Linked DNA regions of Astyanax mexicanus. The protein of the gene in region 1 purifies or fractionates together with the protein of each later gene. This does not show direct contact. Links are inferred from orthologs where the notes say so. Each region holds a gene or a part of one and is shown in the gene's direction. Other genes may lie near its edges.

Region 1 (7,693 bases):
ACTGCTCAGTGATTACTCATATGGGCCTCAGACAGAGTTATCAAGTAACTATGTACAAATACTTTGTACTTAAGTAAGTAGAAATGTTGGCTATCTATACTTTAATGGAGTAATTATTATTTTACAGTCGACTTTTTGCTTCTACTTCATACTTTTTCACACACTTATTTAAAAATAGCCTTGTTACTTCTTTTTAATTTCAGCTTGTTTTCATTCCGGCTTCTCATTGTTCAATAAAACCGCAATCCAGATAAATCTCTCCATCCAGATAGAGTATAGAGAATCTGATTGTGATTGGATGTAGAGAAGTATAAACATATACCATTCCGACTCCCTATTGGTTTATACCATCACAGCTGCATACGTCACGTCCCCCCCCCCTCCCCCCCACACACACACACACACAATCCAGCAAGAACATAGCAGACGTATGTAGCCTAGTATGAAGATGATCCGTGCAGAGACGCAGAGTCTCCCTGAAGCTGCGGGAGTCTCCCGCATTTCAGTAGTGGCCCCCTGATGCCCGCAAGTCACATATAATCTCCCGGAATTCAGAACGAGTGCCCCAAGAGCGCACTGCACACAAACGCACACACAGGCGACAGACTTTTTTCTCCAATCGCGTGTGGGAAGGAGAGAGAGAAAACAGAGAGGATTCTCATTGGCCTGTTCTCTGCAAAGAGTCTGTGAGACAGCCAATCAGTTTTTAGTGTGGGCAGGCAGTGTTTTCCCCCCTCCCGGACGGGATTTGTTCAGTGAGTGTGAGAAAGCAGATCATGGCGGAGGCAATATTAATAATTATTGTAATATGATATGAAATATTTTTGATGTTGTGCAATTTTTTTGTGATATTGTAACTGTCATTTTTTGTCAAATAAAGGCTTTTTTTCAAAAAAAAGAAAAAAAGGAAAGCAGAGGCAGGGCCTTCCAAAAAGAAAAAAAGATAAAACTCATTTCATTTCACCTCTGAATACTCTAAATTTAATTTAAAAAACGTAAAATTAATTAATATAAAAGTAAAGTTTCGTTATCCTTTGGTGTGTGTGCGCAAGTTTTTTTTGCTTGTTTGTTTGTTTGTTTTTTTTTGGGGGGGGGGATGGGGGGGGGGGGGGGGTAACCTCCCTGAAATCAACTTTTGCAACTTGGGATGTCTGGAACTAGAGAACTCCAGACAAACTCCAGTCTAACTAAATTTCTTTAATATATTTACATTCTACTAATATACATTAATTTTCAATGGCATTTTTACACCTTACATTACTTTAACGTTTATACTTTAAGTAGTTTTGAAAGCAGTACTTTTACATTTTTACTTACAGAGTAAGGAGCTTGAGTTGATACTTTAACTTTAACTACAGAAGTATTTTAAATCCTACTATCTAAACTCTATACTTAAAGAGTGGATCATTTGGCCTCACATGGGTGAAGCGTGGGCTGGGTGGGTTCCAGGTAGGTATAGGATCTGTTGTTACTGGGTCCCAGTTGAGCATTCCAATTGGGTCCCACTGTTAGAGCCCACCTTAATTTTACATGGGTCTCATCTAGGCCCCAAATGCAGTGTATAACCCAGATATAGCCCATATTTAAACTCTCTTGGACCCATCATTGACATCCTGATGTGTGCCCAACATGGGCCCCATGGACTACATTTTTTGGGATCCAGTTGGGCTTTCCATACAGGCCCCACATGAGCATCGTATTTTGGAAATAATCTCAAACATTACTGACAAATCTATCCTGAAAATCCTAAAAATGCCAAGATGTAAAAAACAAGCCTAAAATGTTGTTTGTCTGCTCCAGAGATTTCTATTCTTTTGGCAGTATTCACTGCAAGTATTAGAAGGGGTGTTCACAATCATTTGCACAAATTGTGTATGGTATAAATATTCGCAATATAATTATGCATGATATAAATATTTTACTGAACTGTTTTCAAGAACTTTTTAAGGAAAATTTTAAAGCATTTCACGTCAGCCGCTCCACATGACGCCTTGGATGGTGAAATCCAACTGTTTCACTGTTTTCCATCTTTCCAAATTGTTGCACTTTGTTCTTGAGGATGATATGGAATGCAACTAGCCGCTGGTCAAAAGAATACTGATGAAGCTATTAACATCTTCAGATTCTTTGAAGTTTTGACTGATCGATCGCAGGGGTTACACTGTTACAACCCGCTACATCATTCCTCTCAGCAGGGCTCTGTCCAACCACCTTAAACAATTCTCACCCAAATACGACTTCAACTAACTCAAGGCTTCATTTACAAAGAGCTCTTACACAAATACTTCAAAGCCCAGACTGACCAGTGAAATTCAGCAGCACGCAGAAAAACAGGCAGCCTATTAAACCACCTGTCAGCAAAACTGGACTGAGCATTCTGTCTGTAGTCGTGCATCCTCTCTCCCTTCATCCTACCAGCAAATAAACAGAAATGCAGCTCTACACTTTTAAAAAGTTAGGTCTAAAAGTGTTCTTTGAGGTGAAGACTCCTTAGACTCCATAGACTCCTTTCAATGTATAGATCTAAACCTGTAAAATGAATCATGTTATCATTGTTACTATATGAGTACATTAGACAATAAAAAAAGCTTCAGTAATATTGTGAGTAAAAGCAAAAGTAAATTGCATTTCTCACGTCCAGTAACAGAAGGAGCACTTTGTGCTGCAGACTGTCTCACGTGACTTGACTTATTAGACTGGTGGCAGAGTGAGGTAGAGTAAAGCAGAGCAAGGTGGAGTGACATAAAGGCAGAGTGAGGGTGATTGAGGTGGACTGAGGCAGAGTGAGGTAGAGCAAAAAAGAGTTAAATAGAGTGAGGTACAGTGAAATATGGGGAGGAGGCATGAAAATATTAAACCAGAGCAAGGTGGAGTAAAGTAGAGTGAGGTAAAATGAGTCAGATGTAGGTAGAGCAATATAGAGTGAGGTAGAGTGATATAGAGGGCGGCAGCATGAGGCAGAGAGATATAGAGTGAGGCAGAGGGAGGCAGAGTGAGATAGATTTAAATAAAAATTGTTTTAATAGTGTGTTACTCTTTAACCCTTTGAGACCCTGAGTACATTCCAATGGGCATCTTGTGTTTTCTTCTTTACTTCATATCCTTTCACATAGCTCAGATTGAGACCTGCTGTCCTTCAGAATATACATTTATCAGCCAGTCAAACATGAGTTCAGCCCCGCCCACTGCACTGGAAAACAATAAAAATATCTACACACTGAAGTAAAGCACAGCTGCATCCCACTTAATGAGGTTTATTTTATGGTTTATTTTACCACTTAGAAATGATTTGTAAAACAAACAATTATATAAAAGATATATAGAATAAGAAAAAAGATATAGTTTTACTTGTTTGTATTACTGGAAATAATTCAGGTCTGAAAGGGTTAAGAAATGGCAATTTCTCTAACCCCGCTCTTCCTTTATTTCGATTTTCCATTTTTTTTCATACTAAACTACAGTGTAATTATTTGAATTGTATTTCATCTATTAGTATGTCTACTTTTAGTATGTCTCCTCAAAGATAAATGTGCTTCTTAGAAGAATTTAAAATAGAAAACATAATCCGGTTTCTTTAACACATTTTTTTAACATTGTTATTTTCTCAAAACAATTCTGCATGTGTTCCCGAATAGCTTTAATATAGTTTTTTTTTAATATTCACCCCGTTCTTTTTCTGCAGTAAAATAACTTATTTGCATTCTGAAAATGTGAGGGCTTTGACATTTCCTACAAAAAACACTTGTGCTGGAAACTAAAGGTTTGGAGGACATGAACTGTTTGATTTGTATTTAGGAAAATATTGATTTTTAAGGAATGTTAACTTTTATTATTATTATTATTATTATTATTATTATTATTATTATTATTATTATTACTATTTATATTGACGTTAAGGGAAGTGCTAACTTCATTTTACAATTACAATCAAAATTTGTAGTAACATTTATTATTAAACATGAAAGCTTTTTATGTAATGCTTCAATAGAAATCTTCAAAATTGAAAATTGACAAAAATGCTGACCTGTTAAGGGGTTAAATATACATTGTAAAAAAAAGCAGAAAAAGAAAACACATTAAAGAAGAGGTGGAGAAGAGGTGTGTCCAGACTTTTGACTGGTCCTGTAAGTATAGCTTTGGAAACACAATTCAAAAATATGAACCACATGATTAAACTCCCGCCATCTTCAAAAAACACACAGTTCAGCCCCTGAGCACATCTAATCCAGAGGTGGCGTGACCACAATAACCAGAACTACAGCCCTTACAGCGTCCTTTAAATACTAAAATAAAACTTACTATAACGTTACACATAATTTAATTAATATAAAACTAATATTAGCAGTGTTTTTAGTGTGAGTTTTATGTTTTAATGGTAATGTAAATCCTTATAAATAGCTGGAGCTGCCTGTGGCTGCTGCTTGTGTGTCTATTAGGACTGAGTTTTGGACCAAACCATTGTGGAAGAGGTGGGGACTGCGTGACCTTGTATAAATATTTGAGTAGTTCTAACTTAATTGTTATTAAATACACACATTTTAAAATTTAACGTCATTTTAAAGGTAAATTATGCGTGGATTTCAAACATTTAACTATGTTAATGTCCGTATTTAAGCGATAACACCAAGCCGTAGTGGAGTGACCCCCCTAAAAAGGGGAGAATAGAAGAGTCCACCAGGCTGCGCTGCTGTAGATAGCTGTGTATGTGGGAGATTTTTGAAGGCGAGCTGAGAGATTTTTAGTTTTATCGTCGGATTTTCTCTTTTTTAAGAGCTATAACCATGTCGGTGGCGTTTGCGCCTCACAGACAGCGCGCTAAAGGCGATATTACACCCGCAGGAATACAGAAGGTAATTGTTTTTAATACAGAAAAGGGGTAACAAACGAAACGGTGGCAATTGGTTTCTATGGAGGGTTGTTAGCCAGGAAGGTTGCTAAGCTAATTAGCTTAGCTATAGCTAGCGTATGTCTAAATATTGTTTTTTGAATCAATGTAATCTTTATTAAAATTTTGTTTTCAAATTTCCTTCTGTTAAACAATCCAATAAACGACCACATATTCTCATTTTAGTATATTTAAATGCGCTAGCTAGTTAGCTAACCTATAGCTATTGCTTAGCTAGCTATGTAAGCTAGCTAGCAAGCTAGGTTAGCTGTACTGTTAGCAGGCTAGCTAGCTAGCGCCTTTGTTAGCTAGTTAGCCCAAAAAACATATAAACGCCTTATTTTAAGAGAAAGTCTGGTCGTGTTTTAGCGTTAATAGACTTTTTACAGTCACTCAGCGTGATAAATTAAGTGGAAAATTCCAGTAAGGTTTCAATAAATGTGCTGTGAATTCACGCTGTAGCAGAAACAGCTCATGTAGGTTAACCTAGCTGGGTTAGGTTAGCTAACTAGCTAATCTACAGCTAATATTAACGTTAATCTGATTTGTTGTCCTTTCTTTCTCTGTGTGTAATTTAACATTATATTAAACCCACAGAGGGTAAATTTGCAATTTTACAGCAGCGCAGAGGAGAGAGCAGCAGTGTCAGGAAATATACATCAACATATAATATATATATATATATAAAAGAAAATAAACATTTAACGTTATATGTACATAACGCTAATAAATAATATCCCAGACCAACTGTTTATCCAGACATAATTCTGTAATAAAAACAGTTTAAAATCCTAATTGTAACATATATGGTACAACAACAATTTAAAGTTTTGCCCTAGAAGTCATGTAAACCTATTATATAAAACGTAAAAAAAATATTAAAGCATGTAAATCGTTCACATGGTTAAAACAGACCTGTAAAAGCAAAAGCACAAGCACTAACCCAGTACACTTACATTCTGTAAATGAGTATTTGCCTTGTTTTGACAGGCAGACAAAATGCATCAGAAGTAGCAGATTCTGCTTTTCAAATGGTCTGTTATGCATAGTGCAGTGATTCTTATTTAAAGAGGAATTTTCACTCTCTGTAATATAATGTGCAGTAGGGTTAGTGTTTAAGTATTGATGGTATCCTTGATATGTTTATTGTTAATGTGTTTAAAAAATTATCACTATGAAAAAAATATCAATGTATTGTCCAGATATATATTTGTAACTTGCAGAAGGACTACACACGCAAGCAAATGTTACATTTTAACTCTCAATCAACTGTGTACAAACAAAAAAATGAAAGGCTTCTTCTGAGAAATTTGTTTTTTACATTTTTGGGGTTTCACATTTACTTAGCTAACTCATCCTTACATAGACAGATCACTGCCTTAAACCATTTTAAATGCACAGGTTATATACAATAATGGATCTATTGAAATAAAGTATAAGATAGAAGTGTATATGCCTAGAACAGTTTTAATGTTATAGCCACTAAAAAAGAGCAAGGCACACATATGAACATTAAACATTAAAACATTGTGAATTATAAAAAAAAAATCTCTGAAGAATGTTTTCATTGGTTTCACATATACCCAGGGTTTAGACAGTTCTGGGGTAGACTTTATTGTCTTATTAAATACTCTGTAAAAAGGTTTAAAAACAGAATGGTGAATGAAACACAAACTTGCTTTTATTGTTTTGTGGACAAGCTTTACCGCCCCACAACCCAATTCTGGATGGCTTTCTACACCTGAACATCTCCAGAGCTTTCCATTTCATCCAAAGAGTTTTTCAGAGCATCATATTCTACTGGCAATGCATTTATTTGAAGATTATACAAATTGTATACACAGTTAAACATGTATATCAGTAATGGTTGCACCTTAATTACTGATTAGATGGGCTGTTCAACCCCTTCTACCCATGCCTTTGCATAATCCCTGTTTGAGAATCTGACCCATAGTGTTTTGAGCATAATTGAGTCCACTCCCACTGGTTGGGTTTGCCTGCCCAGGACAGGAGGTTTGCTTCTCGCACATATAAGCTGTCTTTTCTCTCTTGAACACATGAGGTTTAGGGTTAAATCACATGGTTAGAATTAAAAAAACATGTACAGGAATGAAGACTGTGGGTAACATTTTTTGTTTAAAATTTGTTCAGAGCTTTTTCTGAGGTCAGTTTAAAATGAGTAGAATTAATTCTAAACTTTGTTTCTTTCCAGCTTCTCGATGAAAACAATCAGTTGATTCAGTGCATCATGGACTTCCAGAGCAAAGGCAAAACTGCAGAATGTTCACAGTAAGTTTGTTTTTTGTACATCTTACACCATAAAAGGTTAATGCACTGATATGTTTTTTAGTTTAGAAAAAACGTAAGTAGTTGTTGTAGGTAGGACTGCAATGTTTATTTTGTACTAGAGTTGCACGGTGTACCGAAGGTTCGATTCTTTTTCGATACTACGTCATCACAAACGATTCGGTTCTTTAGCGTTCGATGCTTTCGATACTATATAGCCCAGTCACTAGCTTCAAATGAGTCAAAATAGTAGGCGCGATTTGATTCAATTCATAAGAAAACTGATTCACACCGCAGCAGTCGGTGTGGCAGGATTCAGGTAAACTTAGTGTTCTGAACAAATGAATCGATTCACGTGTGAATCGATTCATTTGACTCGCTTGAGCGACACACGCACGCGCAAGCCAGCAGAGCAGCAGCGAGAGAGAGCAGCGGCGAGTGTAGAATGGCGACGTCTAAAATAACAGATGTCTCTCGTCCGCGACTTGTGGACAAAACGGGCGCGAGGAGTGAAGTGTGGGC
Region 2 (7,297 bases), on another chromosome or scaffold:
CAGATCTCAAATAATGCAAATAAAACAAGTTCATATTCATAAAGTTTTAAGAGTTCAGAAATAATCAATATTTGGTGGAATAACCCTGATGGTTTTCAATCACAGTTTTTTTTTCATGCATCTTGGCATCATGTTCTCCTCCACCAGTCTTACACACTGCTTTTGGATAACTTTATGCTGCTTTACTCCTGGTGCAAAAATTCAAGCAGTTCAGTTTGGTGGTTTGATGGTTTGTGATCATCCATCTTCCTCTTGATTATATTCCAGAGGTTTATAGTTAGTTAAAATCAAAGAAACTCATCATTTTTAAGTGATCTCCTTTTTCAGAGCTTTATATATATATATTATTACACTCAGAGCAACCTATTTTAAGTGTTTATTTTTTATTGTTGATTATTGATTATGGCTTACAGCCAATGAAAACCCAAAAATCAGTGTTTTTAAGAAAATTAGCATTAGCATTAGCAATTAGCATCATTAACTGTGTTTTTTAACATGTGTTTAGCTGCTGTTCCGATGGACGTGTGTGAAATCTGTGCGTTTGCTGCGTGCACCGGCTGCTAGACCTCCATCAATCATCCATCAGACAAAGGAGGAAGATTTTCCATTCCATCAGTTCACTGTTCAATAAACACAAACCCCTACACACACACACACACACACACACTTTCCTCGCACTTACAAAAATGGCTTTATAGTCCACGTGGCAGCAGAACTTTTTGAACTGTTACTTTTTTGTTTGAAATCATGATTAATCTGGAATTTAGATTTAGAAATGTAGATTTACTGTAATTGTTTGTGTGTTACAGCTTAACATTTCACTTATTTAATGAAAGTAGGGTTGTCTTATTTTTCTACTGCTTATATATTTCTTGTGTTTTCATATTCTTATACGTGCAATAAAAGAGATTATAAAAAATACCAACTTTCTGTTTCTGTTTTTTCAGCTTTGAGTTTTACCTGTTAAACACTTTAAACCTTTTTAATTACATACTTTTACAATTTTTAAAACACGTTCACATTTTTACACTTTATACGTTTTCCAGCCTGTATGCAGGTGTGTATATGTCTTTCAGTTTTAACTCCATAAAGGCATGCATTTTTGTTTATTTTATACCTGATATTACAGGTCTATATATTGAGGATTTCTATTCGAGCTGAAGTAAACTGAAGTAAATCTGCAACTGTTAAAATAAAATTAATAAACTCATAAAATGGCCATTTTCTGTCCACAAAGCTTTTATTTCATTACAGTTGTAACTTATTTTACTGCAGATAAAAAGGGTTTGTATCATTCACACCTACAGCCTGTATACAGGTAAATACCTGTTATAAATAAAATATACTATAATAAATAAAACTATACCATAAACTATATTTATTAAAATTATGCATTGTTGTGTGACTCCAAATCCCATCTATGCTTTAAATATATTTTTTTCCATAATAAATCCTTTCTATTTAAATTATAAAATACACATTTTAGTTGTGTCCCCGTGTTGTGGTTTCGCTCAGTCCTGTTACATTACTGTAACACATTACCCTGATCATCTGAAACATCAGGAAGTCACATCTACAACAGGAAGTGACATCATCAGCTGGTTCTGGTTCTGAAGATCATGGGAAGAACAAAATTCCTAAAGTTTCCTCATTAGTTTTTTTTTCTGTATATTTGATCTTATTGTAACGATGACTGAGGAGCTCAATCTCAACACTCAGTCCTGTTACCCAAATTCATTCTTACATCTTATTTGTTTATTTTTAAAACACAAATTAAGGGAAAATCACCAGAATGTGCTCAGTGTCCTCATGCTATTAGCCATTTAGCTATTTTTCATGTTTATGCTAATTCTATGCTTAAAACTTGGGCTTTTTAAATGCTTTTTATAACCATCTTCAGATTAGAAACCTAAAGCTGCCTAAGATTGACCAGTACATATTTGTTTTAAATAGTTAAATATGTGTGTTATTAGATTAAGAGTTATACAGTTATACAAAGTTTCTTAGATGAATTATGAAAAAAGCAGTAATTCTCATAATAATTCAAATTTTCAGCTTATTATTAAAAGTAAAATCTATCTGCTATATCTGCTATATACACAAGGACTTCAAACTTCCAAAAACAATATTTTTCCTCCTTAAAGCCACAGAGGATTAAGAGAGGGATGACTTCTCCAAAAAAATATTTTCATGCAAATGTTACACGTCTTGGAGCACACTTTAGTTGTATATGTACAATTCTGTGCTGTTATTTGTTAGAGAACATTATAGATTATAGATTTTTAAACCTAAAGTAATACACCAGCGTTCTCACTGATAAACACATAAACATGATTCATCCAATAAACTCATAGACCTTTATAAAGAGAAGCAACAAAAACGAGCAGCTAATCTGAGACTGGGATCTGAAAGATAAGATTTTATTGCGTGTGAATTTACACACTATTCCATCACTAACTGTTTAAACACGCTTGTCGCTTCTCAGGGTGATTTAAAGGTGGAAATTTAGGGTGTAAATCTTGGATAACATAATACAATATTGTTTAAAAGCTTTGCAAAAGTAAGCCCCTCCCCCTCAGCAGTAACTCATCGTTGGATATTTGATTTTTTTTTAGATTTAGATACATAAAAATAAAGAAACCAGTTAATAGCCTCCTTATTTAAACAGCTCTATAACCAAACAACTGGATCTTATGAGGAAATATTTCTATCCCGATGGGAAAGTACACTCTAAAAAACAGAGGTACGATATGAGTACTTTTTTGTACTCGAAGGTACACTCTTTATAATTGTACCCTCAAAGGTACAATATTGGTCTTTACGGGGTCAGATTTGTTCCCTCTGAAGTACAAAGTAATTTCTAACAGCAATAAGTACAGATTTGTACCATTTAACCAGCCAAAGGGTACATTCAGTATTCTGCATCACTGTACTAATGAACAATATATATTTAAATTGCACATTTTTTATTTGAAAGCCAGACAATTTTGTATCATCAAGTTTTTGAGCCATATTTAGTTGATGATAATGTTTATAATCTTTATTATCTTTACTGCCACAAAAACCATGGGTACAAAAAAGGACTTTCACTGAAAGGTACTTTTTTGTACCTGAATATAAGGTACAGCCCCAGCGACAAGCTTTGTACTCTTTTAAGTACAAATCTGTACTTATATTTCTTAGAGTGTACTGTTCAGGGGTGTGTTTCCCAAAAACGAATAAACTTAGTGTTTTACAAACAACTTTATAAACATCTTAAACGCCTGTTACTTACAGTAAATCTATACAATGCTTATGATGTATTTAATCATTTAATTATAATAATAATTGCAATTAAATAAAAAGCCCATTATATGCCCAATGAATGGGTGTTTCAGCCTGAATGCAGAATCTGTTAGTGAAAGCCTATAATGTATAAGTGTATAAATGGTGGCAGAAAGTGTTTATGTGGCTGATGTGTGAGCAGCAGGTTTATAGGGCTTCTTGTTTGGCCAAAAAGCAGAAGTAATCAGATAAAATCAGACAATTTTATTATCAGAATAAAAACCCTGAGATCTAAACTTTCTACTGATAACTCTCCCTAAGTGCACAACACAAACCACACGGCCGTGAGCGCCACGACGCGGAGAATTCAGCACAACTATCATCACTGTCCTCGAGTCGCCATGTCACAGCACAGACAGAGACACCACCGGATTATATATATTTTTATTTTTTAATATTATTTTACATTCTGTTTATGTAAGAATTGCACTGGAAGATAGACAATTATTATTATTGTTATTTTGGTATTGTTTTTCCTAAGAATAATTCTATTTGAAAAAAAGAAAAAAAGAAAGAAAGAACTAGAAAAATGTCTAGTGAGGAAAGAATTTTTATTGTATTTTTGTAAACTTTTCTACCTCAAAAAAATATATATATATATTCCTAATGTTAAGGCAAACTTCATTTTATTACTGTTCCATTGTTTCTAAACAAAAATGTTGATTACAATAATAAAGTATTTTGTTGCACGTATAATATTTGGCAACATTTTATCCTAGGTATTTTGGATCCTTTGGATCTATGAAGATTAAATATTAAAAAGTGTCAGTATCGGTATCGATATCGGCAATACTGATCCGGTATCGCTCACCTCTAGTGTTCAGTATGTTATTGGAACACTGCAGGATTGAACACTAGAAGTGCGCTCCCTCCGTAGGGCCCTAGGTAGGCTGCATTGCATAGATTTGATCACGTGACGCGTGACACGGCGTGGTATAGGCGGAGCTCCGGTCGGTGGAGAGGAGAAGATGGCGGCGCGTGGAGGTTTTCAGTCCGGGGCGCCTGGAGCTGGAGGAGCCGGCGGAGGAGCAGGTGGAGGCGGCGGCGGTGGAGCTGGAGGAGGGGGTGGAGGAATGGGACCTGGACCACCAGTACCGGGCGCTGGGCCGGGCATGGGCCCAGGCACGCCGACAGGGAGGATGGGACCCGCAGGCGCGCAGAATCACCTGTACCGCTCCCCGATGGCGGGGCCCGGTTACCCGGTAAGAGAGAGAACAAAGAGCGGGGGGTGGCCAGCGGGTTACACTGCTTATCCGGTGCGCTGGCCTCGCTCTGATATCCTTAAATCCAGTTAACGGGTTTTGTTTAAGTGCAGTATTTTGAGTATTTGCTAAAACAGAGATCTGCTTTGTAAAGGCTCTTATGGATTCTTAATTCAGCAGCGCCTGTTTAGAATTTTCCGTTCCACCTTAAAAAACGTTATAGTTGTGACCTGGCGCTTGCAGAGTCGCCTGCTTTAAACTATTGCTCTTTTTAAGGTGGACTGGAGAAAGGCAACATAACGAAGCTAAGTTAGCCAATTTAGCTAAGCTAGGTTGAAATGATCAAAATTATGTTAAATTGTAAAATAGTGGTCAGTAGTGTGAGAAGAGATTAAAACGAACAAAGCAAACTTTAGTGTGATTAATAAGTGAATTACAGGCTAAAACGAGAAAAAGACGAACTAATAAATGAATTAAAAACTTGGCTAAGCTAACTCTAGCTAGCTTGTTAGCTTAGTTTAGCCTAGCCAAGTTGCCGGAGTTTATTAGATGGTCTAGGTCTAAGTTACTGTTTTTGTCTGTTTTATGGACCGAATATTAGTTAGTTAGTTCGCTTTTTATTTGAAGGGAAATGTAATAAAAGTAAGGAATCAATAATACCATTAGTTTTACGCATTTTTATGATGTAGCTATAGAAAGTAAAAATCCATCCCAGGGTTTTGTAACTTACCATCTGCCTAGGCGGATCTGCTGCAACTTGGCACAAAACCCTGTGATGGATTTTTACTTTCTGGACCTGGATCCCAGCTTTGTTTATGAATGGCCTGATGTGGTGTTGGGTAGGTTAGAAGCTATTTTACTTCTAATTTAGACACTTTTATACAATTTACAGTGTAAATAGACGATATTAGAGGGTAGTCCTTATATGTTAAGCTTAAGAGAGCACCTAAAAATGAGAGAACCTCTGGAATATAATCAAGAGGAAGATGGATGATCACAAACCATCGAACCACCAAACTGAACTGCTTAAATTTTTGCACCAGGAGTAAAGCAGCATAAAGTTATCCAAAAGCAGTGTGTAAGACTGGTGGAGGCAAACTTGATTCCAAGATGAACCATGGTTTTTCCAAATATTGATTTCTGAACTCTTAAAACTTTATGAATATGAACTTGTTTTCTTTGCATTATTTGAGGTCTGAAAGCTCTGCATCTTTTTTGTAATATCAGCCATTTCTTAGTTTTTATAGAATAAAACAACAATGTTAATTTTACTCAAACATAAACCTATATAGCAAAATTGGACAGGGACGTGTGCAGGTGTGATGGATCACAGTATAAACCAATAGGGAGTCGGAATGGTATATGTTTATACTTCTCTACATCCAATCACAATCAGATTCACTCTATCTGGATGGAGAGATTTATCTGGATAGGGGTTTTATTGAAGGATGAGAAGCCGGAATGAAAACCAGCTGAAATGAAACAGGAGTAACGAGGATATATTTAAAATGTAAGGAGGAGAAAGTTCAGATAACTGCGTGAAAGTGTCAAAATAATTACTCCAGTAAAGTAGAGAACCTAGATTTTATATTTTTAATTTTGTCTAGACGTCAGCTCATTGTGATAAATGTCATGCAACTTAATGTGTAATGTATACAATTGCGTACACAATCTGAATGGATCTGCATAGATATAAAAAGCCTGGTCTCCCGTGCAAAAAACATCTAAAAACATACAGAACAGTCAGTACTTATTATTAAAACATAATTAAGTTTTAGCTCAATAACTAACCATATATCAAAAGAGCTTTAATGCACATTTTTTTTTGTTGTTGTTGCTGCAATCCCTTAATGCTGTTCTGTAAATTGAATTAAAGTCCATATAGAGAAACTCACAGCTCTTTGTTTAGCTAACTTTAATAGGAAATTCTTGAATGTAATAATTGGCCACTGATAAATAAATAAAGTGATTAAAGTGATGCAGAGGGCCGGGGATTATCTGTTCTTGGGCTGGTTTGAATTTGGATCCATGGCTGGACTTTTGAGGATCATTAATTTTACCCCATTGCAGAAGCAAATTCAGTGTTGGGTTATAAGCAATATTTTTATCTATTAAGATGCATCAGTAGAGTGTACTTTTACCCTGATACCTCGTACATATTTTTCCCATGTGTGGCTGAGAGTAAACCATTTAAATAAAAATAAAATAAGAATTAATAAACTGTATTTGCTGTTAAATGGTTTGGATGGTGGTGTGAAAGCATACTAGTCATTATTTCCTCTGCCAGGCCTTTTTTCCCTCCTCATCTCAGGGACGTGATTCCTTCTAAAGAAACGTTTCTCCTCTCGTCTGCACGGCCTTGACAGCTTCCACACACAGTGCGCCGCGTGCGTCACAGGAATTCAGCGCATCTCCACATTCAGCGCTCAGGTAGAGCAGCGATTGTTCTTCTGGAGCTCCAAGGTTGTGGGGATGGGATGCTGTGAAAGACGGCGAGTTTGTGGCTTTCTGATAAGTAATGCGGCTTTCTGTACAAAGAGTGACGAGTTTTCAGCAGCCTCACAAAGAGCTGTGGATGCTTTCAGCCGCCGCTGTTGTTCTGCACAAAACGAGCAGAGCATCCCAGGAGCTGCTCAGAGCGTGATGCACCGGCCGGGACGCATGTCTGTGTGAGATGTGACGGCTGGAGTTTAAGCGTGTGTGTTGGGCTGTTATTGAGGGATCTGTGTGTGTTGGGGTGTGTGTGTATATGTGTGTATATATAGCTGGAC

The links. The genes of interacting proteins can lie anywhere in the genome.
Region 2: the proteins of ss18 (region 1) and smarcd1 purify together in Homo sapiens (affinity purification with mass spectrometry; 5 studies listed by BioGRID and IntAct, counting the BioPlex papers as one, with this or other methods). This does not show direct contact. The link is inferred for Astyanax mexicanus from reciprocal best matches to the Homo sapiens genes SS18 and SMARCD1.

What each region holds. Positions count from the first base shown.
Region 1 is NC_064415.1:10,642,710-10,650,402, forward strand, and holds the start of ss18 (protein SSXT), read left to right. Parts: upstream 1-4,671; 5' UTR 4,672-4,781; coding exon 4,782-4,850; intron 4,851-7,097; coding exon 7,098-7,174; intron 7,175-7,693. UniProt on the Homo sapiens protein: Appears to function synergistically with RBM14 as a transcriptional coactivator. Isoform 1 and isoform 2 function in nuclear receptor coactivation. Isoform 1 and isoform 2 function in general transcriptional coactivation.
Region 2 is NC_064431.1:560,138-567,434, forward strand, and holds the start of smarcd1 (SWI/SNF-related matrix-associated actin-dependent regulator of chromatin subfamily D member 1), read left to right. Parts: upstream 1-4,277; 5' UTR 4,278-4,292; coding exon 4,293-4,526; intron 4,527-7,297. Other genes in the region: si:ch211-220m17.5 (guanylin family protein), read left to right, coding at 506-564. UniProt on the Homo sapiens protein: Involved in transcriptional activation and repression of select genes by chromatin remodeling (alteration of DNA-nucleosome topology).